Linked DNA regions of Oryctolagus cuniculus. The protein of the gene in region 1 purifies or fractionates together with the protein of each later gene. This does not show direct contact. Links are inferred from orthologs where the notes say so. Each region holds a gene or a part of one and is shown in the gene's direction. Other genes may lie near its edges. The genes, in order: PRKCZ, C1QBP, LLGL1, LLGL2, NIPSNAP2, PARD6G and CSNK2B.

Evidence for each region.
Region 2: the proteins of PRKCZ (region 1) and C1QBP purify together in Homo sapiens (affinity purification with mass spectrometry; 5 studies listed by BioGRID and IntAct, with this or other methods). This does not show direct contact. The link is inferred for Oryctolagus cuniculus from reciprocal best matches to the Homo sapiens genes PRKCZ and C1QBP.
Region 3: the proteins of PRKCZ (region 1) and LLGL1 purify together in Homo sapiens (affinity purification with mass spectrometry; 6 studies listed by BioGRID and IntAct, counting the BioPlex papers as one, with this or other methods). This does not show direct contact. The link is inferred for Oryctolagus cuniculus from reciprocal best matches to the Homo sapiens genes PRKCZ and LLGL1.
Region 4: the proteins of PRKCZ (region 1) and LLGL2 purify together in Homo sapiens (affinity purification with mass spectrometry; 7 studies listed by BioGRID and IntAct, counting the BioPlex papers as one, with this or other methods). This does not show direct contact. The link is inferred for Oryctolagus cuniculus from reciprocal best matches to the Homo sapiens genes PRKCZ and LLGL2.
Region 5: the proteins of PRKCZ (region 1) and NIPSNAP2 purify together in Homo sapiens (affinity purification with mass spectrometry; 3 studies listed by BioGRID and IntAct, counting the BioPlex papers as one, with this or other methods). This does not show direct contact. The link is inferred for Oryctolagus cuniculus from reciprocal best matches to the Homo sapiens genes PRKCZ and NIPSNAP2.
Region 6: the proteins of PRKCZ (region 1) and PARD6G purify together in Homo sapiens (affinity purification with mass spectrometry; 6 studies listed by BioGRID and IntAct, counting the BioPlex papers as one, with this or other methods). This does not show direct contact. The link is inferred for Oryctolagus cuniculus from reciprocal best matches to the Homo sapiens genes PRKCZ and PARD6G.
Region 7: the proteins of PRKCZ (region 1) and CSNK2B purify together in Homo sapiens (affinity purification with western blotting; 3 studies listed by BioGRID and IntAct, with this or other methods). This does not show direct contact. The link is inferred for Oryctolagus cuniculus from reciprocal best matches to the Homo sapiens genes PRKCZ and CSNK2B.

Annotation. Positions count from the first base shown.
Region 1 is NC_091438.1:163,707,790-163,711,592, reverse strand, and holds part of PRKCZ (protein kinase C zeta type), read left to right. Parts: intron 1-433; coding exon 434-515; intron 516-1,432; coding exon 1,433-1,482; intron 1,483-1,570; coding exon 1,571-1,759; intron 1,760-3,803. UniProt on the Homo sapiens protein: Calcium- and diacylglycerol-independent serine/threonine-protein kinase that functions in phosphatidylinositol 3-kinase (PI3K) pathway and mitogen-activated protein (MAP) kinase cascade, and is involved in NF-kappa-B activation, mitogenic signaling, cell proliferation, cell polarity, inflammatory response and maintenance of long-term potentiation (LTP).
Region 2 is NC_091448.1:50,895,917-50,900,274, forward strand, and holds the start of C1QBP (complement component 1 Q subcomponent-binding protein, mitochondrial), read left to right. Parts: upstream 1-1,543; 5' UTR 1,544-1,631; coding exon 1,632-1,857; intron 1,858-2,144; coding exon 2,145-2,295; intron 2,296-4,358.
Region 3 is NC_091448.1:62,280,635-62,283,157, reverse strand, and holds part of LLGL1 (lethal(2) giant larvae protein homolog 1), read left to right. Parts: coding exon 1-130; intron 131-279; coding exon 280-433; intron 434-1,739; coding exon 1,740-2,035; intron 2,036-2,281; coding exon 2,282-2,523. UniProt on the Homo sapiens protein: Cortical cytoskeleton protein found in a complex involved in maintaining cell polarity and epithelial integrity. Involved in the regulation of mitotic spindle orientation, proliferation, differentiation and tissue organization of neuroepithelial cells.
Region 4 is NC_091448.1:5,031,496-5,035,298, reverse strand, and holds part of LLGL2 (LLGL scribble cell polarity complex component 2), read left to right. Parts: intron 1-1,595; coding exon 1,596-1,693; intron 1,694-3,689; coding exon 3,690-3,771; intron 3,772-3,803. UniProt on the Homo sapiens protein: Part of a complex with GPSM2/LGN, PRKCI/aPKC and PARD6B/Par-6, which may ensure the correct organization and orientation of bipolar spindles for normal cell division.
Region 5 is NC_091450.1:65,798,992-65,802,794, forward strand, and holds part of NIPSNAP2 (protein NipSnap homolog 2), read left to right. Parts: coding exon 1-58; intron 59-143; coding exon 144-189; intron 190-3,093; coding exon 3,094-3,188; intron 3,189-3,530; coding exon 3,531-3,601; intron 3,602-3,803. UniProt on the Homo sapiens protein: Protein involved in mitophagy by facilitating recruitment of the autophagy machinery required for clearance of damaged mitochondria.
Region 6 is NC_091441.1:99,674-104,216, forward strand, and holds the start of PARD6G (partitioning defective 6 homolog gamma), read left to right. Parts: upstream 1-1,482; 5' UTR 1,483-1,647; coding exon 1,648-1,719; intron 1,720-4,543. UniProt on the Homo sapiens protein: Adapter protein involved in asymmetrical cell division and cell polarization processes. May play a role in the formation of epithelial tight junctions. The PARD6-PARD3 complex links GTP-bound Rho small GTPases to atypical protein kinase C proteins.
Region 7 is NC_091436.1:138,947,068-138,951,299, reverse strand, and holds the start of CSNK2B (casein kinase II subunit beta), read left to right. Parts: upstream 1-1,407; 5' UTR 1,408-1,426; coding exon 1,427-1,498; intron 1,499-2,563; coding exon 2,564-2,666; intron 2,667-3,226; coding exon 3,227-3,342; intron 3,343-3,749; coding exon 3,750-3,825; intron 3,826-3,969; coding exon 3,970-4,159; intron 4,160-4,232. UniProt on the Homo sapiens protein: Regulatory subunit of casein kinase II/CK2.

The DNA of each region.
Region 1 (3,803 bases):
GTCACGGGGTCAGGAGTGTGCAGGGGTGCGTGGTGGGGTCACGGGGTGGGGAGTGTGCAGAGCCGTGTGGTGGGGTCACGGGGTCAGGAGTGAGCAGAGCCGTGTGGTGGGGTCACGGGGTCAGGAGTGTGCAGGGGTGCGTGGTGGGGTCACGGGGTGGGGAGTGTGCAGAGCCGTGTGGTGGGGTCACGGGGTCGGGAGTGTGCAGGGGCACGTGGTGGGGTCACGGGGTCAGGAGTGAGCAGAGCCGTGTGGTGAGGTCACGGGGTCAGGAGTGTGCAGAGCCGTGTGGTGGGGTCATGGGGTCAGGAGTGTGCAGAGCCGTGTGGTGGGGTCACGGGGTCAGGAGTGTGCAGGGGCGCGTGGTGGGGTCAGAGGTCACAGGAGCGTTGCAGAGCCGCGTGGTGACCCTGCCCTGTGGTCTCCCGGGCAGGATTCTGTCATGCCTTCGCAAGAGCCTCCAGTAGCCGACAAGAGCGACGACGCGGACCTTCCTTCCCAGGAGACTGACGGAAGTAGGTGCCGCCCTCTCCCTGCTGGGCAGAGCGCAGCCCCTCACCCTGGGCCCTGCCAGCCTCCCTGACCCACTCAGCCGACAGCGTGCCACGGGCACATGAGGGCCTTGGGCAGGGACATCGCCATGAGGTGCGGGGTGGGCGGGGACAGCTCCATGGGGTGCAGGGTGGGTGGGGACATCGCCATGGGTGCGGGGTGGGCGGGGACATCACCATGGGTGCCGGGGTGGGCGGGGACAGCTCCAGGAGGTGCGGGGTGGGCGGGGACATCGCCATGAGGTGCGGGGTGGGCGGGGACAGCTCCATGGGGTGCGGGGTGGGCGGGACATCGCCATGGGTGCCGGGGTGGGCGGGGACAGCTCCATGGTGCCGGGGTGGGTGCGGGGTGGGCGGGGACAGCTCCAGGAGGTGCGGGGTGGGCGGGAACATCACCATGGGTGCCGGGGTGGGCGGGGACAGCTCCAGGAGGTGCGGGGTGGGCGGGGACATCGCCATGGGTGCCGGGGTGGGCGGGGACATCGCCGTGGTGCCGGGGTGGGGGCTGTGCACCGAGTGCCGGCTCCAGGGGTTCTGGACAGCAGCCAGCAGCGCGCCCTCAGCTGGGCGCTGCGCGGAGCCCTGTCCCCAGGGAGCCCTGCGGGCCTGCACACGGCGGGGCAGCCTGAGTGAGCTTTTCTTTCCCGGCGTGGAAGCGGCTTCGTCTAGTTGGGACGCATTCGGAGCCGCGCGGACGGCCCCCGTGTGGGCTGGGCCCGGCGTGAGCCGCAGCGCTGGGCGGGGTCTGGCCCGGAGGGCCGCGGGTGGGCCGGACAAAGGGCACGGGCGCTCGGAGGGCCGAGCACGGCGCAGGCGCGCGCCGTGGCGGGGTCTGCGGCCCGGGAGGTGCCCCCGCCTGAGGCGGCTCTGCTCTCCCTCAGTCGCTTTCATCTCCACCCGGAAGCAGGACAGCGGCCAGGAGGACGCCGAGGTGAGTGCCGAGGTGGGCGGGACCTCCACGAGGTCGCCCCAGAGGGCCCCGTCCGCGGCCCCGCCCTGACGCGCCCCCCCCCCCCCAGGACCTCAAGCCCGTGATCGACGGCGTGGACGGCATCAAGATCTCTCAGGGGCTCGGGCTGCAGGACTTCGACCTCATCAGGGTCATCGGGCGCGGCAGCTACGCCAAGGTCCTCTTGGTGCGGCTCAAGAAGAACGGCCAGGTCTACGCCATGAAGGTCGTGAAGAAGGAGCTGGTCCACGACGACGAGGTGGGCGCCGGACCGTGCATGCGCCGCCCCCATGGCCGACACACACGGACCGCGCATGCGTTGCCCCCATGGACGACGCACACGGACCGCGCATGCGCCACTCCCACGGACGACACCCACATCCCACGCGCGCGCTAGTCTCACTGAGGACGCCCACATCCCACGCGTGCGCTAGTCTGAGGACGCACACATACCGCGCATGCGCTGCTCCCATGGACGACGCACACACTGCGCATGCGCTATTCCCATGGCGGCCGCGCGCGTGACGCGCATGTGCTGGTCTCGTGGCGGCTGCGCGTGAGGTGGGCGCGCGTCTCGGGTGGGCCTGAGGTGTGCGCGAACCGCGGTGGCGGTGGCGGTGGCGGTCGCAGTCTGTTACCGCTTGGGGTCGAGTCGCCGGCTGCGCGCTCGGCAGGGTCCGAAGTCGCGGGTGATGGCGTCTCTCTAAAGCAGCTTCCTCAGCCTGATGCTCCCTGGAGGGCGCGGAGCGGGCGCGGGTGCCCGCGTGGCCGCAGCGCCCGCGTGGGAGGCAGCCGGCCAGGGAGGAAGTGCGGTGCGCGCACCCCCAGCGAGGGCGAGGGAGCCCTGGCCCGCCGGCCCCCCAAGCCTGTGTGCTCCGCGCCCCCAGGGAGCCCCTGCCGGCCCCACCCGGGTCACACAGGGCGGGGGCTGCGCGCGGGGAGGGGCCACGCAGAGGTGGCCTGGGGTCCTGGTCACCCAGAGGCCTGGGGTCCTGGGCTCCGAGATGGGACTGGGCTTTCCCCGGGCCGATCCCAGCGGCGGGGCACAGCAGGTCCCCGGGTCCCCGTCCCTGAGCCTCGTCTCTCCGACGGCTTCCGCCCCTCAGTGGGGTGACCCAGGGAGCCCCAGACCCCCTCAATGGGGGGTGACCCAGGGAGCGCCAGGCCCCCTCCGTGGGGGGTGACCCAGGGAGCCCCAGGCCCCCTCCGTGGGGGGTGACCCAGGGAGCCCCAGGCCCCTCAGGTGGAGGAGGTGACCCAGGGAGCGCCAGGCTCCCTCCGTGGGGGGTGACCCAGGGTGCCCCAGACCCCCTCAGTGGGGTGACCCAGGGAGCGCCAGGCCCCCTCCGTGGGGGGTGACGCAGGGAGCCCCAGACCCCCTCCGTGGGGGGTGACCCAGGGAGCGCCAGGCCCCCTCCGTGGGGGGTGACCCAGGGTGCCCCAGGCCCTCTCCGTGGGGGGTGACCCAGGGAGTGCCAGGCCCCCTCCGTGGGGGGTGACGCAGGGAGCCCCAGACCCCCTCCGTGGGGGGTGACCCAGGGAGCGCCAGGCCCCCTCCGTGGGGGGTGACCCAGGGTGCCCCAGGCCCTCTCCGTGGGGGGTGACCCAGGGAGCCCCAGGCCCCCTCCGTGGGGGGTGACCCAGGGTGCCCCAGACCCCCTCAATGGGGGGTGACCCAGGGAGCCCCAGGCCCCCTCCGTGGGGGGTGACCCAGGGAGCCCCAGACCCCCTCCGTGGGGGGTGACCCAGGGAGCCCCAGACCCCCTCCGTGGGGGGTGACCCAGGGAGCCCCAGGCCCCCTCCGTGGGGGGTGACCCAGGGTGCCCCAGGCCCCCTCAATGGGGGGTGACCCAGGGAGCCCCAGGCCCCCTCCGTGGGGGGTGACCCAGGGTGCCCCAGGCCCCCTCAATGGGGGGTGACCCAGGGAGCCCCAGGCCCCCTCCGTGGGGGGTGACCCAGGGTGCCCCAGGCCCTCTCCGTGGGGGGTGACCCAGGGAGCCCCAGACCCCCTCAATGGGGGGTGACCCAGGGAGCCCCAGACCCCCTCCGTGGGGGGTGACCCAGGGAGCCCCAGACCCCCTCCGTGGGGGGTGACCCAGGGAGCCCCAGACCCCCTCCATGGGGCGTGACCCAGGGAGCCCCAGACCCCCTCAATGGGGGGTGACCCAGGGAGCGCCAGGCCCCCTCCGTGGGGGGGTGACCCAGGGAGCGCCAGGCCCCCTCCGTGGGGGGTGACCCAGGGAGCCCCAGGCCCTCTCAGTGGGGGGTGACCCAGGGAGCCCCAGGCCCCCTCAGGTGGAGGA
Region 2 (4,358 bases), on another chromosome or scaffold:
TGGGGGGTGGGGGATAATTTATTAGGCTCCTCAGCAAATCCTCTAGCGAGAGGTATTCTCCAGGTCAGGTAAAACTCACCTTGCGTAATTTATATCCGGCTTAAGCACCCGAGAAGTTTCCAGAGACTCATGTTCTTCTCCGGGGGGCAGAGGATGCAAACAGCTTCTAAGTAGCTTTCATGTTTCAGTACAGAAATATGTTTACCCCTGTAACACTGAGGTAGTTTTTAATATAGTATTTAGTTTTCTATTGGGCTTTTAAGGAAGTTATTTTTTTATCATAGCTGCTCAGGGATGAATCCAGGTTGGAAAGCCCACCCTAGCTCCACGTCACTAACACAGAAATAAGACCTGTCTGTCGAGCTGCAGGGGATGCTACACCTTAAACTTAGCGCTTTCACAGTGACACTGCACCATAGCCCCGAGCTACCCTTTCCCACCTCCTCTGAGCGGCTGTGTGCAAACAGTGTCCTCAAGCAGGCGGCGTGGGGCGTGGCTCAGGCGGCTGTCCTGCTTACATCATCACAGAGGGTGAAACGTGGGGTAGGGCACCTTTCCTTACAAGGGCGAGGACCCCAATCCCTGTCCTTGATAAAAAGCTTTCATGCTGCAAACCTGCTGACTGGGAAGGAGATGCCAGATGAGGACAAGGTTTTGCTCGGGGAGGGAAATTGCACTGTGATACCTAAATCCTCCGTCCACTACGGATGTGGCCATGCATCTCTGACACCAGTGCTTTAGCATAAGAGAAAGCACGGGCCCCGTGGGCGAGAATGTTATGTTGTATTTCATAAGAATATTGTAACCTGCAGAGAAATCCCGAGGGAGGGAAAAAATCAGGTTGGCTCAGGCGTACGTTGTATTTTGAGTCTTAAATAAAGCTATGAAAAGATCAACTCCTGTGTATATATATAATGCTCACATTCGCACCTGACTAGCAAGTGTCCATTGAGAACAAGTCTTGTACATGATGCATGTCCCTTCTTTCTTGTGTGTCCTTGCCCTTATTCACAGAAAGCTGTTTTGAAAATATTAAGTATTAGCCTTACGATTGCCACAAAGCTAGGGAGACATTTTCTTGGTACCTTCCACACCCTGGCGAGTGCAGAACCAGATGTTAGCCATGGCTTCTGGCTCCCGGCAAAATGACTTTGCCTGAGAACTTGGATGCAAGGCCGGAGGGAGCAGGTGAAGCCAGTCACGAGAGGTTAACCATGGGCACCGCGCCTCGCGCCTCTGGGTCTCACCTGGCTGCAGTGAGGGGAGTCAGCCAGGCAAGCGAGCAAAGCCAGGGCTTGATGCACACGAGAGAGCAGAGAAGGCCTGCGAGAGGTGTGCTGCCGTCGAGTGTGGAGGACGTGTGCAAGCCTGGCGCGCTCTGAGAATTAACCACAAAGCTCTGCGCACCAGACCCCAACACACTCCCGGGGCGGTCCAGGAATCCGGATTCGAGGCTGCACCGGCGGTCCCCGGCAGAGGGCGCCATCCGGCCCGCGGTGCCTTCGGTCTTTGGAGCGCCGGCGGCGGGAGACGCTTCCGGGCGAGGGCGGGCTTCCGGCGGCGGGAGGTCACTTGGGCGCTTTGGCCCGGGTCGTCCGTCGCCGCCGCACGTGTCTGACGCCGTCCGCGCGATGCTACCGCTGCTTCGCTGCGTGCCCCGCGCCCTGGGCCCCGCCGTCGCCGGCCTCCGCGCCGCGGCCCCGGCCCCGCCGCTCCGGCCGCTGCTGCTGCCCGCGCCCCGGCCTTGCGCCCGGCCGTTCGGGCTGCTCAGCGTGCGCGCGGGCTCGGTGCGGCGGCCCGGCCTCCTGCGGGCTCGCGAGCCCTGCTCCTGCGGCTGCGGCGCGCTGCACACGGAGGGTGAGGGGCTCGCGCGTGGCGTGGGGGACCTGATTCCCGACGGCGACTGACAGCACCGCTCCCCGGCTCCCCCGGCCCCGGGTGCGGTTTGGGGGGTGGGGTGCTGCGGCGCTCGTGACGGAATTGGCTTCTCCGGGCGAGCGGATGCAGCTGCCCGCTTCCAGGCCGGATAGCGTTGGGGAGGCGAGGCGGATGCCGGGCAGAGGGCGGCGGTCCCCGGGTCCCCGGGTCCCCGGGTCCCTGTCGGGTGCTTGGCGCTCCTTGACGTCTCCGCGATTCCTCCCCAGGAGATAAAGCCTTTGTGGATTTCCTTACCGACGAGATTAAGGAGGAGAAGAAAATCCAGAAGCATAAAGCCCTTCCCAAGATGTCTGGAGGCTGGGAGCTGGAGGTGAACGGCACAGAGGCTAAACTCGTGCGCAAAGTGGCCGGGGAGAAGTAAGTGCACGGCGCGCCCCGGGGTGCGCGGCGTGGGGCGGCCTCTGGCTCGGGACCCTAAGCTCGCTGGAGCCACATGTCAGCCACCCCGTGTGACTTCACAGCGGGACCCTTCCGCAGCCGCCCTGTCCCTTCTTCCCCCTCCGGCCCCTTGAAACCGCCAAGCTGCCTTCTCTGGATTTGCCTGTGTGGGACATTTTGTGTGAGTGGGAGTCATGCAATATGTGGCCATTTGTGTCTACCTCCCCCCCCCCCCCCAAGATTGATTTATTGGCTTGAAAGGTAGAGTTAGAGACGTCTTCCATCCACCCCAACAGCCAGAGCTGGGCCAAGCTGGAGCCAGGAGCCAGGCAGCAGGCACTTTTTCCATGTCCTCCCACGTGGGTGCAAGGGTCCAACACTTGGGCCAGCTTTTTTTTTTTTTTTTTTTAAGATTAATTTATTTGAGAGGCAGAGAGTAAGAGAATTACAGAGAGAAGGTTACAGAGAGGCGTCTGAGCAGGGAGCTGGATCCAAAGCAGAGCAGCCTATGGGTGCCAGCGTTGTAGGCAGCAGCTTAGCCAGCTGTGCCACAACACTGTCACCCCCGCACCCCCGTTGTTTTTGAGGTTCATTCATACTAGTAATAGCATGTACCAATAGTTAGCTTTTTTAATGACAACATAATATTTCATTATGTGGATATGCTAGATTTTATTTATGTAAGGAAATGGGAGACAGACCAGAGGAGACAAGATACGAAGTCAACGGCCAAAATCAATTAAGAAGAAAAATGGGAGCCAGCGCTGTGGCATAGCACGCTAAGCTGCCACCTGCGGTGCCTGCATCCCATATGGGTGCCGGTTCAAGTCTTGGCTGCTCCACTTCTGACCCAGCGCCCTGTTTCTGCTCCTGGGAAAGCAGCGGAAAATGGCTCAAGTGCTTGGGTCCCTGCACCCACATGGGAGGCCTGGAAGAAGTTCCTGGTTTCCATCTGGCCATTGTAGCCATTTGGGGAGTGAACCAGCAGATGGAAGATCTCTTTCTAACTCTGTCTTTCAAATACAATAAATAAATCATAAAGGAAAAAAAAAAAGACAAGTGAATTTGCAAAGATGGCCAACCACTGGCATGCGCACAGACAGAACACGTGGCCGAGAGAGCAGGAATTTATTTACGGGCTGGATTTAAATAGCATAGGCCTGATAAGGGCCATGAGGTGCAGTGGAGCTGAGCTAGCTTTTCTATGGAATGCAGAATGCAGAGGGTAGGGTGGGCAACAGTACAGGGCGTAGGACTGAGCTGGTCTCTTGAAGGAAGGTAAAGGGTCCCTCAGGCAAAGAGCCACAATGCCTGAGGCTCATGTCCTTGTTCTGTCAGTTATCCATTCATTTGTTGGCAGGCATTTGACAGGGTTCTATTTACTTTGTGATTCTGGTTTTTTATTTATTTATTTTTTTAATTTTATTTATCTGACAGATAGTTATAGACAGAGACAGAGAGAAAGGTTTTCCTTCCGTTGGTTCACCCCCCAAATGGCTGCTACGGCCGGCGCTGCGCCAGTCCGAAGGCAGGAGCCAGGTGCTTCTCCTGGTCTCCCATGGGGTGCAGGGCCCAAGCACTTGGGCCATCCTTCACTGCCTTCCCGGGCCACAGCAGAGAGCTGGCCTGGAAGAAGGGCAACTGGGACAGAATCTGGCGCCCCGACCGGGACTAGAACCCGGTGTGCCAGGCGCCGCAATGCAGAGGATTAGCCTATTGAGCCACAGCGCCGGCCTTTACTGTCGTTTTGAAAGACAGATAGCTCCCATGTGCTACTTCACTCCCTAAATATTGAAATGTCCAGGTATAGGCTACGCTGGAGCTGGGAGCTGAATCCAGGTTACCAGGTTATTGCCTTAAAGGTGGGCTTTAGATATTCTGGGTGCAGTTCCCCTTATCAGACACAGGGTGTGCAAGTGTTTTCTCCCATCCTTGGGTGTTTTTTTCCTTTCCCTATGTTATTGGTATTGACATACACTTTTTTTAGTTATTGTTTGACTACACCAAGTGAACTATTTTTTTAAAGATTTATTTATTTATTT
Region 3 (2,523 bases), on another chromosome or scaffold:
CGACTCCCTGGCCATGGAGGGGCCGCTGTCGCGCGTGAAGTCGCTCAAGAAGTCGCTGCGCCAGTCCTTCCGGCGCATCCGCAAGAGCCGTGTCTCGGGCAAGAAGCGGGCTGCCACTGCCAACAGCAAGGTGGGCTGGGCCGGGCGCCGCCCCACTCCCCTCCCCCCGCCGTCCCCTCGCAGCAGCCCTCAGCCCTTGGGGTGGACGGGGTGGGCTGGAGGGTGGCGGGCGGGCACCCCGGGGCGCAGGGCTGAGCCTCAGGGCCGCTCCGCCTGTAGCTGCAGGAGGCCAACGCACAGCTGGCGGAGCAGGCCTGCCCCCACGACGTGGAGATGACGCCCGTGCAGCGCCGCATCGAGCCCCGCTCTGCCGACGACTCCCTCTCGGGCGTGGTGCGCTGCCTCTACTTCGCCGACACGTTCCTGCGAGATGGTGAGGCTGGGGTGGGAGTGGGGGCCGGGGGGCGCGGGGACTGTGCCTCCAGGGTTCCAGAATGTTGTGTGCCAGGGTGCCCTGGTGGCCACCTGCACGGTCCCTCTGTGGGGGCAGCTGGAGCTGGGCAGGCCTCAACGAGTTCTGGGGAACAACGGTGAGAGGCAGCGGCCAGTGCCAAGGCCCTGTGGTCGGCCGCGTGGGGGACTGCCCCGCCCACAGCTGGACGGAGCGAGGGAGGCGGAGGGCAGGATGGCTGAGGGCCCAGGGAGGCCCGATTCCTTGATTGGCTTTTAACTCATACTGTGGAGGATTTTAAAACGGAGAAGGCACATGGCTGCCCTGTGCTCCTGACTGATGGCCCCATGCCGCTGGTGAGCCTGTTGCACCCCGCACTGAGCCGTTTGGCTTCGCTGCGGTGCTTGAGGTGAGAGCCCGGGCAGGAGTCTGACACGCGTCCCAACGCCCACACTGCCTGCCTCGCCCACGTCTCAGCACAGGCTCTGTCCAGGGGCTGCTGTCTGGTGTCAGGTATTTGTCACAGGCCTTTGTCCGATTTTCCTACCCCCTAAATGTGCCCGAAGCAGGTCACAGTTTTTTTATAATTAATTTTTTTTAAAGGGAGAGATAGACAAAGGGATTGTCCATCTACTGGTTCACTTCCCAGGTGGCCATGACAGGGCTGGGCCAGGCTGAAGCCAGGAGCCAGGAGCTTCTTCCAGGTCCCCCACGTGGGTGCAGGGGCCCAAGCACTTGGCCATCTTTTGCTGCCTTCCCAGGCGCACTAGCAATGGGCTGGATCAGAAGTGAAGCAGCTGGGACTCAAACCGGCGCCCACATGGGATGCCGGCACTGCAGGCAGCAGCATTACCCACTACGCCACAGCGCCGGCCCCAGGCATGGGGTTTTGACTCCCGTTCATGGTGGCCGAGGCTGGCAGCTGGCACCTCAGGGCTGGCTTAGGTCCGGCAGTGGGTCAGGGTGCTGTGTGGTGGGTGCCACACCTTCCTTGGCCCCTCCATCCTGCTCCGCGTCTCCAAGGAGTGTGTGGTGCTCGGCTGCCACAGCCAGAGCAGGGCTGATGGGTGGCCTGGGGTTTTCTGTGGTCAAGAGGCTCTGTCTCCCCACTGTGGGTGGGGGTGCGGCAGGGGCTGGGGTGGCCTGCAAAATGAGGATGGAGGGCGGGGGCTGAGGGTGCTGTGGGATGGGGCTGGAGGGGGCAGGGTGCTGTGTGGGGTTCGCAGATGGCAGCTGCGCCCGGGTGCCGGAAGTGGCGCGCCCTCTCACGGCACCCCCGTCTCCGCAGCGGCCCACCATGGGCCCACCATGTGGGCGGGCACCAACTCGGGCTCCGTGTTTGCCTACGCACTGGAGGTGCCGGCAGCCTCGGCGGGCGGCGAGAAGCGGCCCGAGCGGGCGGTGGAAGCCGTGCTGGGCAAGGAGGTGCAGCTGATGCACCGGGCGCCCGTGGTGGCCATCGCCGTGCTGGACGGGCGCGGCCGCCCGCTGCCCGAGCCCTACGAGGCCTCTCGGGACCTGGCGCAGGCGCCCGACATGCAGGGGGGCCACGCCGTGCTCATCGCCTCCGAGGAACAGTTCAAGGTGAGCGGGTCCTCGGGGCCCTGCCCACGTTCCCCAGGCCCATGGGAATGCCACCAGCCGGCAGACACCACCTTGAGACCCACACCGCGAGGCCGGGGTGACCCCAGATGGGGGAGGCTGGCCAGCGTCTGGGATGCCCTGCACTGGGGGAGGAACGTGTGTCCGTGTGTCCCGGGCATACAGGCGGCAGGGTGAGGGCCTGGGCCCGGCCAGCTCCGTGCTCACGGGCTGCCTGCCCGCTGCCAGGTGTTCACGCTGCCCAAAGTGAGTGCCAAGACCAAGTTCAAGCTGACAGCCCACGAGGGCTGCCGCGTGCGCAAGGTGGCCCTGGCCACGTTTGCGAGCGTGGCCTGCGAGGACTATGCCGAGACGTGCCTGGCCTGCCTCACCAACCTGGGGGACGTGCACGTGTTCTCGGTGCCCGGCCTGCGGCCCCAGGTGCACTACGCGTGCATCCGCAAAGAGGACATCAGCGGTATCGCCTCCTG
Region 4 (3,803 bases), on another chromosome or scaffold:
GGCTCCAGGCTGTCAGTGGAGCTCACCCTGCCCCTCCCCGGCCTGACCCTAGCGTGGGCCTCCTCCCACCAACCCCCGGCCTGGCGGTAAGGCAGGCAGGCACTGGGTTTGCTAAGCTGGCGTACTAGCTGACCCAGGACCTGGGTCTGCGTTCTGAGGCCAGGCGGCCTCGGCTGCCTCATTGTTGCACTTTTCCTGCAGGGCAGGGTCTCTGTGGTTGAAAAAGTGGCTCACCAGGCTAATCCTCCGCCTGTGGCGCCAGCACCCCGAGTTCTAGCCCCGGTTGGGGTGCTGGTTCTGTCCCGGTTGCCCCTCTTCCAGGCCAGCTCTCTGCTGTGGCCCGGGAGGGCAGTGGAGGATGGCCCAAGTGCTTGGGCCCTGCACCCCATGGGAGACCAGGAGAAGCACCTGGCTCCTGGCTTTGGATCAGCGTGGTGCGCCGGCTGTAGCAGCCATTTTGGGGGTGAACCAACAGAAGGAAGACCTTTCTCGCTGTCTCTCTCTTACTGTCTAACTCTGCCTGTCAAAAAAAGAAAAAGAAAAAGCAAACGAAAGAAAACGGTCCTTCATGCAGCTGGCTGGCACGCTCAGCTGTGCGGGTCGGGACCCCCGGGACAGGGGGAGGAGGAGCAGGACCCACGCGTCCTGGTTTGCCCACCTCCATCTGTGCTGCAGATGTCACTGGGTCATCGTCTCAGGCAGCAACAGCAAGAGCCCACGTGCTCCTGCATGCGGTCGGCAGTCGCAGGGCCTGGGAACGGGGCGCGTTGGAAACCACGGCCTGGGGAGACTGCGGCTCTTCCAAGGCCGGTGAGAGCTTTGCACGGCCTGGCCGACTGAAGTGGAAGCGCGGGCTACCAGGCCTTCGGTGTGCGGGACCTCGCACACGTGTCTGCACGGCGGGATCCCGGGCACGTCTGTTCCCACGTGTGACGCACACTCACGGGTGTTCCCAGGCCCAGAGGGTGTCCTCGGAGCCGTTAGCAAGCGCTGCTTGTGGTTGTGAGGGACCGGCTGACTTAAGCTCTCTCGCGTAGTCTGGGCCTAGCGTGTACTTCCGTAGTAGGAAACCGACAGAAGCGTTCATCTGCAACAGCGCTCCGGAAACTCCTCCCTGGGAGTTGCCTGGGGGTCCTGGTGGCGACAGGAGATACAGGGCTGGAGGACCCGCAGCCCAGGACCCTGCAGGCCCAAGCCCACCGTGTAACCAGGCGGCTTTCCCGAGGGCTCGGGGTCTCTGCTGTGCTGGCCCCACACACACTTCCCCACTCCACACCCCCACAAGGCCCCCGACTACTGCAGGAGGGCTGGCTGGGGTCCCCAGGGTGCTGATGCAGGCTCCAGCTCAGTTTCTGGAGAGTGTGAGTGTGAGATGGCCAGCGTGGTGTCAAGAGAGAAGGCCCCTGGGCTGTCAGACTGCCAAGGACAAGGTGGAAACAAACTGGGGCAGGGGCCGTGTGGGTCTGCGTTCAGCTCCAACATCAGGTGTCTGGGAAACTAGGGGGACTGAAGTGCTCTGGCTGGGGTGGTTCTGGGCTCCTCCGGTCCCAGCTGCTGTGGGCAGAGGGGACCCAGGGACGCTGTTTGCCTTGCAGACGGTGGAACATGGCTTCCCGCACCAGCCCAGCGCCCTCGGCTACAGCCCCTCCCTGCGCCTCCTGGCCATCGGCACGCGCTCCGGAGCCATCAAGCTGTATCCTTGCGAGGGCCCCTGCGGTGGGTGAGGTTCAGGGGAGGCGGTCCCTTCCCTCTTGCCCGTGGGCTGTTGGGAAAAGGGCACAACTTTGTCTGATTCCCGCCTTTGGAAGTGACTTCCTTGGAGGCCGACGGGGTGGGTATGAGCTGGCCAGCTGCTGGCCTGTCCCTCTGGGGAGGAGGGGGAGGTTTGAACCCGAGGCACGGTTTCTTTTGTCTCCTGCGTCCGCTCAGGGCCAAGAAGCTGTCCCCCCTCCTTGTAGCTTCCCTCCCTCACCCATCGCTGGAAGTTTCAAAAATCAGTCTCAACTGTGCAGGAGCCGTGAGCCCCAAGGAGAGAGGCCCAGCCCCTCCCTCCTTCTGCCCTACAGGGCTGAGCCGAGGGTCTCAGGGAGGAGGGGCCTGGAGAGTTTTCCTGAACTCTGCCCAACAAGGCGATGGCTGGGAGACACCAAAGGGGTCTGCCTCCCCCAGTTCCACTCCCCCTCAGAGAGGCAAGTTAGAGGACTTCCCATTTCTGTGGCCCGTCCCGCGGTTCCGTCCACGAGCAGAGACAGGGTGGCCTCGGGTGAGGGCAGCACTGGGAAGGCAGCTTCGCCTCCAGGTTCTAGCCCCCCCCCCACAGGCACACACCAGAGGGTGGAGACCCCTGCTGGAGGGCACAGTCCCCACCCAGCCCCCCCACCCGAGCCTGAGGCTGGTGTCCTATTGGGTCATCTTTTATCCAGAATCGGCCTTGTTCTGGGCTGGCTTGGGGCTCCAGGTGGTTCCACGGCGAGCCCCCAAGTTCCAGAGAGGATTGCTGTGAGCTTCTCCAGCCGCTCTGGGCTGGACCACAAATCTGAGTGCCTCCTCTGCCGTCTGACCTGCACTGCCAGGGGCGGGGCCTAGGGGAGCAGAGCCCCTTGGATAGCTCGGCTGGCGGCTGGCACTTCCTGCAGCGGAGCCCCAACTCCTTCCTGTTACCCTGCTGCAGCTTGGGGGGCGGGGCTGCTGGCCTGCTGTGTACACAGCGGAGCAGGGGCCCAGATCCTCCTGCTGCCAGCTCAGCCCTCCCCTGGCTGGTTAATCATTGCCGGGACTCGGCCGGATCCTGGCTACCAGTGCCTGGTGCCACGACTCGTAGGCAAAGACTGTTGGGGGTGGACACAGGGGTGCCACCAAGCAATGGATGGTCGATCAGTTTGGGGAAACAGGTGTGGCAGCCAGTGGCCAAGACTGGGCCTCGCCTTCCTTTAAAAAAATAGGAGGGCAGGGGGACAGTGTTGTGGCGTGGCAGGGAAAGCCACTACCTGCAACAGCGGTGTGCTATGTGGGCACCGGTTCAAGTCCCGGCTGCTCCACTTCCAGTCCCGCTCCCTGCTGATGGCCTTGGAAATGCAGCAGAAGACGGCCCGAGTGTCTGGGCCCTGCCACTGCTGGGAGCCCGGAGGAAGCTCCTGACGTAGACCTGGACATTGCAGCCATTTGGGGTGTGAACCAGCAGGTGGAGGATCAACCAACCTCTCCCTCCCTCCCTCCTTCTGACTTTCAAATAAAGATACAAGTTTATTTGAAAGAGTGACAGAAGAAAGAGATCCACCATCTGCTGGTTCACTCCCCAGATGCCCTCAGCCAGCCAGGGCTGGGCCAGGACCCAGCCAGGAGGCAGGAACTCCGTGTGAGTCTTCCACGTGGGTGGGAACCAAGTCCACGAGCCGTCACCGCTGCGTCCCAGGGTGCATCAGTAGGAAGCTGGATCAGGAGTGGAGCAGCCAGGACTTGCCCCGGGCGCTCCAACAGGGATGTGGGTATCCCTCTCCTGCCACAGCAGCCGCCCAGAGCTTTACCTGAGAAAACTGCCCCTGCTCAGGCCACTGCTCTCTCTCCTCACCCCAGGCCCTGGACGTGGTCCTGCTGTGCCAGGGTGTCTGTGCTCCTTGCGAGGGGCCCTTGCACGGGGCAGATCGGGGCGGGGGTCCAGCCTTCAGAGCTTTTCCTGAGCCTTCTGCCAGCTACGGCGCCCCAGGGGTGGAGTTCATGGGGCTGCACCGGGAGAACAATGCTGTGATGCAGATCCACTTCCTGCCTGGCCAGGTGAGGGGCCTCCTGTCCCCCGCTCCCAGAAG
Region 5 (3,803 bases), on another chromosome or scaffold:
GATGCTCACTCTAATCTCCTAGCCAAAAAGGAAACAAGCAGTCTATACAAGTTACAGTGTGAGTGATAAATTAGCTGTCTTTACGGGGGACTTTTTCCCCTGCTTTGTTCATAAGTTTGTCATGGGATTTTCTTCTGTTTCAGTTCACAACGTTAAACCAGAATGCCTAGATGCGTACAACAAAATTTGGTACGTATACCAGACTATCTTGTACTTGGGGGAAAAAGTACACTTAATATTGGTTAGTTCAGCTAGTACTTGGTCGTAGAGAGAGAGATTTTCTTTCATGCCTGTCATTAAAGCCGAGTGTTCAGAGGTTCGTCAGTCATGGCTCTGTGTGGGGTTGCCAGCGGCATGGCGGCTTTAAGCACGCACACAGCTAAATCCTCACATTGTCTGTCAATCTTCAGGGTGTTACCAGGCTCATAAGGCTGGGAGGAACCTGGCAAGGTCATTGCTCATCCAGTGCTTGAGTCCCTTCCTGCAGACTCTCCTGCCTGCCTGTGCTTAAATCAATCTCTGGGCAGCTTTGAGTGTTAGGAATTGAACTCATGTCTTGGTGATCACCATCGTTTCCAGTTTTCCTCCCGGGTAAGACTGCCGCGTGAGAGTCCTGGCTGTGGTTGAGCACAGCTTCCACTTCTTCCCAATTCTTCCCTCAATAGCATCTAAGTCCCTTTGGCTGACGGTCCTATGATATGAGAGCTGTACCCCCTTCAAAAAGAATTGGTAAACTTTAAGACTAGAGGGAGAATTGAGTTAATTAGCAGAGGTGGTATTTTAATGAACACTTGTGAGCAAATATAATGAGAAAGCAGATGATTTTGTCTCCAGAGTCAGTGTAATTCTCAAGAGAAAAAGCTTTTGTCATTCTATTGTTTTGTTTGTGGAAGTGTTCTGTGAAATGTAACATTAGCATAGAATTTCTTGCCCTTGTCAGCACATTTCTCTTTATTTACAGAATGCCCTGCAACAAAGTAGATGCTTGTTTCTAAATACCCGCTACCCGCTCATAGAATGAAAAAGTTTCTCTGTGCTGATGTTCCCCTCGATTGTTTTTCCTGTCCTGTTTTTATCACTGCATCTCCTGTCTCAGATTTCTGGCTGTCTGTTCATATTTATATTTGGATGTCTTGCTCTCACTTCAGACTGGACGTGTAGAATCACCTTGCCCTCCCGACTTTGCTGTCTGTGCGCTCACCATGTTTTACTGCACCCTTTCCTTAGTTCTTTGTGATGAGTTGGTCACTGAGGGCTGTGCGTCCTTCATTTGACGTGTGTTGTGGTTCTCTTTGCTCATTTCCTCCTCCGTCTCCGTCTCCAAGCTGTTGAGCCCCATTCCTGAGTCATCTCCTTTCTGACTGCCTCTCTGGGCTCAAGACTGTAGCTGTGTCTCCACCCCACCCCGCAGTCCATTACCCAAAAGTTTGTCAGATTGATCTGCTGAGTTCTGTTTTCTCCCTCATCATGTTTTTTTTCTTTTTTTTTCTTTTTCTCCGAAACTTTCAGCAGCTCCCTGTTTCCTGAACATAAAGACTTAACTCCTGCCTGGTTTTTAGGGGCCCCAATAATGAGATTCTGCCCAACCCATCCAGTTCTGGGTACAAGTACTGCCTACCTTACAACCTCCGTTCAGGTAAGGCAAGGGCTTCCAAGAGCAGGTTTGGGGCCCCCAGCAAAGAGGATTGGCTACAGACCCATATATGACTTTGACTTGGTGGAGAACCCAAGCCCCCAGCCCCTTTCTGGACCCCACCTGGGTCATCTGTACCAACTTCCTTCCTCTGCGTTGGCTCCAGTTCAGGGTGGTTTTCTTCCTGCACATGTCACATGCCAAAAAAAGAAACCCATTTCAGTTTCCCAATCATCATTCATCTTTCCCTACCCCTGATTTCTGAAGATCAGATCATCTTAAAAAATAAATGCCAATCTTCAAAAAATACACATGGTATGGTCCTCGTACTGGATCATAAATACATATGGTTTTTCAGTTAGACATGCTGTTTGGAGTTTTTCTCTGCTAACTGTCCATACACACCTGGTCCTGATGCCCCAGGTGTGGTGGTAGTCACTAATTTAGTATCACGCCACATCGGCAGGTGATTTGAGCAAGTTCCATGTCTGAGCCGTGATATCCTTTGGCATCCACTGTTGAATCTGTATTGGATTTTCTTCACATAATGTTTCTATTCAAGATTGTGTAGGCTTTAGCTTTTCTCTTGGAGTAGAACAGTGATGCCTCTTGGCTTTGCCTTCCCCGGTACATTGCAGTCTCTGATAGGAAGGGTCCGTGGAATGAAGCTCTGCTCTGAGACACTGTTAATTTAGTGCACTGCCGTGCCACTGCTCCACGCACTCAGAGGTGATGGCTTGGCCGCCGCGTGCAGTGTGACTGTGACACTCGGATCCCCTCAGCTGGTTGAGGTGAATAGACCCTAACTTCGGCTTTGCGTTGTATCTTTAATTCTGATTCTTCTGCCACGTTGGTGCCTTCGGGACTGTTGGAGATTGGGGTTGCTTCTGTGTTGTGTTCTAGCCCTGTCTTCCTCCTCCCTAAGGCCAGATTGTCCTCTCTTCCTGTCACCTTTGCCTGCTGGCGCCACCTGTGTCGTCTGCCTCTGTCTTGAACATTCCTTTCTTCCCTTTCTTCATTCCTCCACGCTCTTTTCTAGTATTCTCATGTCTTTCATTCTTCCTGTCTTTGGAACCAGCAGAACTTAGCTTTTATAAACATCACATTCCTCAGAAGCTTTGTTTTGTTTTGTTTTGTTTTCCCCTGAGATGGCAAATAGTAGACCTGTTGCTCCTAGAATCTTGGGACCATTGGCTCTTCTTTGGCATTTTTGTCAGTATGCGTGGATTGCTTACAACTCTTGTAGATAGTTGGGGTATCAGACAGTTGAGTGGGTTGCTGGAGTGCAGCAGAATTCAGCTATAAGTTAATTCCACATGTCATCTTATCATGAGTATGCCATGAGGTCCGTTGCCAGGAAGAGGGTATGTAGCCTTCGATCCTGTTACTGACTTAACTGTTGTCCACTTGGTAAAATGGTGTGCGTTGTTTGACTAATGCTGCTTTTCCTTCTCTTTAAGTCAAGAGGTATTGCCAAAGATTCATGAAGATAAACATTACCCTTGCACTTTGGTGGGGACTTGGAACACGTGGTATGGCGAGCAGGATCAAGCTGGTAGGAAGCACAAGTCTTTGGAATGAACACTTCTTCCTTAAGCCCAATATAACCACTTAAGTCGTTTTCTAATTCGGTGCCTGTTTTTTGTAATCCAAGCGTTCTGAGTCTCGGTCTCATTTTATGGTTAAAGTAGTTTCTTCAATAATACATTGCAAAAACTATTCTTCTGTTGTTTTTAATGTTTGGGTCTATTACTGAATCTTTGTGGTGTAGCTTACCAGCCAACACATGGTGTATCACAGTTTAGTACTTTATTAATATTGGATATTTCTTGGGTATTTTCAAGATAAGGATATCATGAAACTCTAAATGTCCACTGTCTTTTAAAATGCATTTCAGTCCACCTCTGGAGGTATGAAGGAGGCTACCCAGCACTCACAGAGGTCATGAATAAGCTCAGAGAAAATCAGGTAATGATTTTGAAAAAATTTTTGCTGATTCACACTAAAGATAACACTAGATGTTAGTGCAGAATTAAATGATTCCTGTCATCAGTTTTTGTTCCTAGACTATTTTTTTATAGTACAAATTTTATTGTTTGGACTGGACGTTGTAGGTAAACATAAAGTCACCAGTTATATAATCCTATTTAATAACAATTCTTATTATAAA
Region 6 (4,543 bases), on another chromosome or scaffold:
GGAGCAGGTGTTGGCCTTGGACCGCACTCTGAGCCATACACATTAAATACATGATCTCACCGCATCAAGCTGCTCCAGAGGCCAAATTCAGGGTCCGCAGCCCTCCCGTGGTAAGTCTCCACCCACTGCTGCCCTGCTGCCTGCCCACCCCCCTCATCCCTGCATTTCTGAAGGTGTCTGGGTTGGCGTGTTTCCTCAGGGTAGTCCTGAACTGGAGCGTGCTCCCTGCTGCAACTGGACAGCCTGTGGTTTCCCTCGGGGATGAAGGTGGAAAGAAGTCCGCGGTGCACCTCTGGGCAGCCCTGCTTGTTTGGAAACCCGTGCACCTGCTGCCCTCTCCCGCCTGGTGTTCCTCTGAGCGCGGTGACTCATTCTGGACTACACCCTGGCATGGAGCAGGCTAAAAATGTCCCAAAATTAAATGAAAATTAAACTTGGAGTACAATTTGGTGTTCTGTATTAAAGATTTTAGAAATATAATTCAAGTTTTTTTTTTAAGATGTATGTATTTATTTGGAAGTCAGTTACACAGAGAGGCAGAGAGAGCAAGAGCGAGAGTGAGGCTTTCTGGTTCACTCCCCATCTGGTTGCAACGGCAGGAGCTGCGCCGATCAGAAGCCAGGAGCCAGGAGCTTCTTCCAGGTCTCCACGCGGGTGCAGGGACCCAAGGACTTGGGCCATCCTCCACTGCTTTCCCAGGCCACAGCAGAAAGCTGGATGGGAAAAGGAGCAGGCGGGACTCGAACCGGCGCCCATATGGGATGCCGGCGCCGCAGGCGGCAGCTTTACCCGCTACAGCACAGCGCCGGCCCCACGCAGCCTTAGCAACTTGTGTTTAGCGCCAATGCTCAGCCTACAAGCGCGCGGCAAGCCGGATAGGAGCACAGTCAGTCTGGCAGCGTCGCGGACAATGCGGGTGATTCTGACGTCGCCCGCCGCCTCCCCGCGCTGCAGCCAAGTCGCCGTCGCCCACGGTACCCGAGTGGAAGCTCGCACGCGCCGCGGTTCTAACCCCGCTCCGTTCCCTGCGGACGTCGCGGTCCGTGCTCTCGGGCACAGCCCCGCCGTGGACGCCCCTCCAGGGTCTCCCTCCCGGACCGCGTGGGACACGGCCCCAGTCAGCCTCGTCCCAGGCCGCCCGCTGCCAACTCCGTGGGGTCCCTCTCCTCTCGGGTGCGCGAGCGTGGGGAGCAAGCCGGCCGCCCGCCAGTGGCCCGGTGGGCGGGGTCTCCCGGGAGCGGGGCGGGGCGGGGCGTCCCGGGAGCGGGGCGGGTGGGCGGGGCGTGGTGGACGCGGCCCTGTGGGCGGGGCGTCCCGGGCGCGGGGCAGGGCCCGGGAGGTGGGGGGCGGGGCGGAGGCCCAGTGGGCGGGTCTCCAGGCCGCGGGGCGGGGCGGTGGCCCTGTGGGCGGGGAGTCCTGGGCGCGGGGCGGGGCCCGGGCGGCTCGGCGCGGGGAGGCGGGCGGCGCGCGCCGGCGTCCCCTCGCGCGCGGCCCTGGAGTCCCCGAGGCGCGCGGCCAGCGCAGCTCCGGGCCGCTGCACGCTGAGCAGCCGGGTGGCCGAGGCAGCGCGGGCCGGCTGCTCCCCAGGCATCCTCCTGCGGCCCCTGAGGGGCGAGGGCGAAGGTGAGGCGGAGCGGGGCCGAAACCATGAACCGGAGTTTCCACCGGTCCCAGACCCTGCGCTTCCCCGACTGCGGCGCGGTCGAAGTCAAGAGCAAGGTAAGCCCCGCGCGCCCCCCGCGAGCGCCCAAGCGGCGTCTGAGCCCGCAGCCGGGCGCCGGGGGCCGCTGTCCTTCCCGCCCAAGCGCGGACAAAGCCAGCCCGGGACGGTCTGCGGGCTGCGGCGGTCGGGGGCCGAGGCCGCCTGGGTCTAGGCGCTCGGAACCCACTCCCGGTAGCCGCTCTTTGTTCGGCGAGGAAAGGCGACCCGGGCGCGGCGCACGTTTGGGGGCGGTGTTTCCGGGGCGAGCTGGGGGCCGCCGGCTGCTCGGTCTCGGGGCCGTGCGGGGGCCTCTGGGGGCTGGGCCGGGGCCTCTGGGGGCCGGGCCGGAGGAGGGCCTTGGCCATGCCGCCTGCTTAGCTCCAAGAAGCCTTAGTCCCCGCGGGGGAGAGATCTGCCGCCGGCTCTCTCCTGGGCGCCCGGCCCCGACCCTCGCCCCCCGCCCAGCGCTCCGTGCCAGGCCCCCAAGCTCCGGACGCCTCCCCGGCCCACACCCAGACCCCCTGACCGCGCCCCCGACTCAGGCTCTCCCCCAACCACCAGGCGCGCCCCTGGCGCAGCCACCCAAGCCTCAGGCGCGCCCTCGGCCCAGAAACCCCAACCCGCAGGCGAACCTCCCACGTAGGCCCTGCCCCCACCGGGCGCGCTCCCGACACACACCCCGAAGACCCCGAGTACCGGGCGCGCCCCCGACCCAGTGCTCCCGGCGCGCCCGCCGCCTCCCGCCTGCGCGCCCCGAGCGTGTCCAAACTTGCGCCGCGCGAGCCTGGGTAATTGGCCGGGGAGCTGGCGCTGCTGCCTCTGCGCGGGCGGCCCCTTAGCGCCTGTGGGCGACCCCTGCAGCCTCTGCTGAACGCGGCGCGGGGGCCGCATCTTCGCGCCCTTGCATTCCCCTGCCCCGGCCTGGGTAGAGCTCTTGGCACAGCCGTCCGGGGGCTCAGGGCGGCGTTCCGAAGGGGTTGGTGTAGGTTTCCGGGCGTCGGCAGAGGATGGGACGCGGGCCGCAGGGAGCCTTGGGGTTTCCTGCCCCTCCTGGGACGCACCGTCGTCTTCTGAAACTGCCCCTCACCCGGGTTCTGGTTCCGTGGCCCTGAGTGCACACCGTCCCTGGCACCCGCCAGGGCCAGGGCCGCGTGTCGGGGCCGCCCGCTCTGGAGCTGCACCTACGGTAGGGTTACCAGGGACGGGCCGTGTCTGGTTTCACAAAGCTTTCTGTTCCCAGACCTTCGCTGACCCCGAGGTGGTTGTAGACTAGAGCCCGGTCCCCCTCTCCCGGATGCTGAGGACAGCTAGGACCTGCGCAGGGCCGTCGCTGACCCCGAGGTGGTTGTAGACTAGAGCCCCGTCCCCCTCTCCCGGATGCTGAGGACAGCTAGGACCTGCGCAGGGCCGTCGCTGACCCCGAGGTGGTTGTAGACTAGAGCCCCGTCCCCCTCTCCCGGATGCTGAGGACAGCTAGGACCTGCGCAGGGCCGTCGCTGACCCCGAGGTGGTTGTAGACTAGAGCCCCGTCCCCCTCTCCCGGATGCTGAGGACAGCTAGGACCTGCGCAGGGCCGTGCCAGGCCGAGCACCATCTGTGCTCATTTGGTGCCTGCAGATCTGAGATGCTGGCCACCTGCGAGGCCGGGGAGGGCCCCAGGACCCCTCCTGCTGCCTGCTCCCACGGCTCTCTTGCCTCAAGTGTGAACTGATAACCCAGTGCTCCTCCCCCAGGCCTTGTCCCTTGCCTCAGGGTGGGGAGGGCAGCAGCCTGCCTTTGAGGTCTCTCAAGTGTGACCTGCCCGCCTCCTCCAGGCTGGCTCTGCGAACTGGGCTTGGGTCTAGCTCAGACGCTGCAGGTGCTGTCCTGGAAGTGAGAGGCAGAACTACTGGCCTTGGCAGGGCTTGGGGCTGCCCGAGCTCTTTCCGCGCGTCCCTGGGCTCTTCCTTCCGCTCGCCCCTCCGTGGTTACTGCTCATTGCCGTGTAGCCCACCTCCACAGGCGCTGCTTGTGGGGAAATGGCCTGCGTGTTCTGCCACTGCCACCCGTGCAGGCTTCTGCAAGGTGTTTGACTTCTCCAAGGCCTAGCTGTTCCGCCTGGGATGGGCGTGGTTTCTGTTCTGCTCTCCTCCCAAAATAAAAGGAGGCAGTGGTGACAGTGACCGGGCGCCCACAACGTAGGAATGCGTAGGGTGTGTGTGTGTGTCTCCCCAACCCCGTCCCAGTCCCCAAACGGCCACACCTTACTCCAGCCACTCGGGTTCCTGTCCAAGCCGGCAGTGTGCACTTGTGCTCATGCTGTGGTCTCCTCACACGAGGCCTGCAGGGAGGGAGTACTCGATGTGCAGGGGAGGGGGACAGGCCGCGGCCCCTTCTGAGGGTGACAGGGAGGCCGGTCTCCGTGCAGACTAACCAGAGAGGAATTTTCCCTTGAGAAGACTGGAAACTACGCAGGACCTTATGAACTCAGCAGTGTCCCGGACTCCCTGCTGTTTCCAGCCCCACCATCATCCACACACAGTCTCCAGCAACAGAGGAGCCCAGCCCAGAGCCCCTCGCGGCTGCGGATGACCCCGGTCTCAGCCTTCTCCTGGCTTAGGTGTTGATGACCCACTGCATGGGGTCTCAGTCCACACCTTCTGGGCCTTGGTGTCCCGATCTGCAAATGCTGAGACTCTACTCTGGGCTGCTGCGTCCTATGCAAAGCTGTCCCACTCCTGCCGGGCCAGGCTCCGTCTGTGGTGCTTGTCACGGCGCTGGTGCCACAGTTAGGTTCAGAGCGTGGACTGAGGGCTGTCTGCACTGTGCAGGGTTTGTGGTGGGGAGAATGATGTTCCTTGT
Region 7 (4,232 bases), on another chromosome or scaffold:
AAATAACGCCACACTACCCCCTCACCATTACTCGGAGCAGGTTCGAAGGGCACGCGTAGAGCCCTCAGCTGAAGACCCCATTCAAGCCCTGGGAGGAAATGGAGAAGTGCAAGGGGACGAGCAGCAGGATGGCCGGCGCCGCCTCAGGTTAGCGCACCGGGCCGTCCTGGTTGTCAATAACGCTCAACTCAGGACAGACACACCCGACCCAGGTCCCTCAGCACGGAGCCCGTTCGTACCTCCCACCTCAGAAGGCCCGAGCTCAGGGTAAAACGTGGGGCTCTCCTGTGCAAGGCCGTGCCCGACTTGATAAGAACTAGGAGGGTTGGCCAGGGCTCACTGAGGGTCCCCGAGGGCAACGTCTGCGACCCGACTCGCCTCGCTTCTTCCCCCGCCCCCTCTTGGCCCCTCAGTCCAGTGAGCATACGACTCTATTTCCCAGGCTCCTGGCCCCGAACGCCTTACTTGGCTTCCGCTTCCGGTGGCGCCTCGCTGTGCCCCGCCCCCGAGCCGCGTCCTCGGGGGCCTCGCGACACGAGGGTCGTGAGTGAGCTGTCCTGGGATTCGTAGTTCGCTTTTCCCTCGCTTCGCCGGTCTCTCGCCCTAGCGGACTCCATCTCCCAGCGTCCACCGCGGCTCTCGCCCCTCGGCGCTTGCGCGTTGCCCTCTTCCCCACCCTCCCCGATTTCCACTCCCCCCACCCGACTTCGCCTGCCGCGGTCGGGTCCGCGGCCTTCGCTGTAGCGGTCGCCGTCGTTCTTTGGAAGCAGCTGTTCCCCTCCCCCACCCCGGTCCCGCTCCCCGTCCAGCTGGTGAGTGTGAAGTGGTTGCCCCGCGGAGTTCCCGGTCCCTAGGAGCGGCACATGGGGTCTCCCCGCCTTGAGGTGGGGGCGAGGAAGGAAGTGACCCGGTCCGTAACCGTGGGAGGGAAGGGTGGCCGGAGAGCGGGAGGCAGGCTGTGGGGACTCCGTGAAAGAGTACCTGGCGGTGCCCGCCCCTCGCCCCGGGTCGTGAGAAAAGGAGGTGTCGGTCGTTGCTTGGCAAAGATAAACTTCTAATTCTTGGGGAAGGGTGCCGGAGCCCTGCGGTGGTAGGGAGCCCGAGCCGAGGACTCTGCCAGAGTTGACACAGGCGAGAGGGGTCTGGCCATCGGGGGCGCGGGGGATGTAGGTAGGGACTGCTGGGTCGGTACTTGTGGGCTCCTGCCAAGGAATTTCTAAGTTCATTCAGAGAAAAGGGGCCGAGGTGTAAATAACAAGAGCTAGAGAAGCCTGTCCCAAAGGCTGGGATCCTTTAAAAAAAAAAAAAAAAAAAAGGGTGGCCCCAAATTCTTCCATGGCTGAAAGACAGAGTGTGGGAGGAGGGAAGGTGCCAGAGCCGGGGAGGGAGAGCTTGGACTTGACTCCTGTTTCCAGCTGACGTGAAGATGAGCAGCTCGGAGGAAGTGTCCTGGATTTCCTGGTTTTGTGGGCTCCGTGGCAATGAATTCTTCTGTGAAGTGAGTGCTTTTCGTTCTTCCTACTCGCTGGTTCCATGCGTTCAGGTTGGGTATCTTCAGCTTTTGCACACTTTATCCCGTGGAAACTCCTTCCCGTGAAAGAAGGGGTCCCCTCAGTAACCCCCCACTAATCAGCGGCGATGTGGCAAGACTGGGGCCCAAGTCCCATTTCTGTCACACACCCCACCGCACCCCCAGGAGGATAACATTGAACTAGTCAGACCATCTTTTTTTTTTCTTTTTCTTTTTTAATTTTTTTATTGTACTTAAAGTATCTGAAGGTAGAGCAACAGAGAAAGTGAAGGATCTTCTGTCTACTGGTTTATGTCCCAAATTTCTACAACAGCTACTGCTACCAGCCAGGCTGAAGTAAAGATCCCAAAACTTACCTGGGTTTCCCATGTGGGTGGCAGGGACTCAAGTACTTGTGCCATCACCCTGCTACCTTCCAGGGTGTGTGTTAGCAAGAAGCTGGAATTGGAAGTGGAGTTGGGACTTGAACCTGAGCATTCCAGTTTGGGATGTGGGTTATCTCTAACCATGTAGGAACCACCGTGCCAAGTGTCCTTTCTCCTTTGCTTTTTCATTACTAGAATGCTACTGGTAGTGCTTATCTCTGGGGGCTGTTAGGAGAATTGGAATACTGCACCTTAAAATGTTCTGTAACATGCAAAGCTCTGTGTTGACATAAGGAATTCTAACCACCTTCAGAAACCAAGCTGTTCAGCCTCCACCTTCCTCAGAGAGCAGCTGTTCCCTCAGGAGAGGACAGAACTGGTTCCTAGAGATGAGGAACAGGACTAGAGACGCGGGAGTCGAGTGTGTCTCTAAGGAGACTGCTGTGCTTGCTTGTCCTTGGAGGAGAGAAGCTGGAGCTTTCACGGGGGGGAGGGCGTGCGTGTGAACTCGGGACAGCGGCTGAAGTACTGACGCTGAGTTGGAGTAGGAAACAGGCAGACCAGACGCAGCCGTGTGGCCGACAAGGCGTTCGTTAGGTGACCTTGGCCAGCTCAGAAGCTGGGGGTCCCAGTAGGAGTTTTCCTCTTGACCTCCGTGTTCTACCAGGTGGATGAAGACTACATCCAGGACAAATTTAACCTTACCGGCCTCAATGAGCAGGTGCCTCACTATCGACAAGCTCTAGACATGATCTTGGACCTGGAACCTGGTGAGACACCCTCAAGGTTCATGGTGGGGGGGCTGTTTTTCTCTTCAAATTACCTCTTGAATTTACCTCTTGAATTTCTAAACTTCCTTTTGGTTCTCTGACACCCTTAACCTCAAAGTCCCAGCAGCATTTTTGCCCCCCTCCTTGAATTCTTGCCTAGTTTTGTGACTGATAGCACTTGCTGCCATACTTTCTGAATTTGTAGCTCAGCGCTCCTCCTTATGCGAGTTTCCTCGCGGGTCTTGTTTACTGCCTCTTTGCCTGCCTTGCACCCTCCAGTCTAGAGTTCCACCTTCTGTGTTGACATCTTTGTATTTACGTACTAAGGAAGGAGTTGGGAGGGAGAGAAGAGAGCAGAGGCTGAAGAGGTGTGGAGAGAAGGCTGGGCTTCCTTGGGTTGGTGGAAGGGGCAGAGACCCAGGTTAAATGCCCACGTGAGGACTGGGTGAAGCTCAAGGATGGGTGCTGGGCAAACTGGGCAGCCAACAGCCCTGGGGGTGGGCGGGGCACCTGGGAAAGCTGGAACGCCAGTGGTTGCATGTGGCTGGCCCATATTTCAGACGAAGAGCTGGAAGACAACCCCAACCAGAGCGACCTGATTGAGCAGGCGGCCGAGATGCTTTACGGATTGATCCATGCCCGCTACATCCTCACCAACCGAGGCATCGCCCAGATGGTGAGGCCTCTCTGCGCCTGCGTGACTCCTTGTGAGGCAGTAAGGGAAACAGGTTCCTACAGTGAGCAGTAATCTGGCAGCCCTGTCAAGGAGTCGAGCTGAGATGAGAAAAACCCAGAGTTTGGGCCGGGAAACTGAGTCCTCCCTGGACGTCCTGCTGAGGGGGTGTCTTCAGGGAGGGCGATGTGAGCTTGGTCAGAGTTGTGGACTGCTTCTTCCTCAGAGAACAGACGGCAAATGGCCCTGGATGTCATTAGCCTCCCTAACTGGGGGGAAAGTTGGTGGGCCCCTTTGATCTGCACAAGGACCTCCAAGAAGAGGGAGGAAATGTGGAGGACAGAGTTATGTGGGGGTCGCTGCTTATCCTCATACCCACCCACCAATCCCTTCCATTTTTTTCCCTTCAGTTGGAAAAGTACCAGCAGGGAGACTTTGGCTACTGTCCCCGTGTATACTGTGAGAACCAGCCAATGCTTCCTATCGGTGAGTATTGAAGAAGGGAGAGGGGGCACCATCTGGCAGTCCTCTGGGAAGGAGTTGGGCTCAGCAAGGCGGGAGCTGAGTTCTGGGGCAGGGGACTCGGCAGTGTCGCGGGTGCCTGGCCTGCTGAGTCTGGCTGTCTCCCAGGCCTGTCGGACATCCCAGGTGAGGCCATGGTGAAGCTCTACTGCCCCAAGTGCATGGACGTGTACACACCCAAGTCATCGAGGCACCATCACACGGATGGTGCCTACTTCGGCACTGGTTTCCCTCACATGCTCTTCATGGTGCATCCCGAGTACCGGCCCAAGCGACCCGCCAACCAGTTTGTGCCCAGGTGGGGAGCAGACAGAGTCACCATGTGTCAAAGGAAAGACTCAGAATCCCCCAGAGAGAAGGGTGGGCGGGGC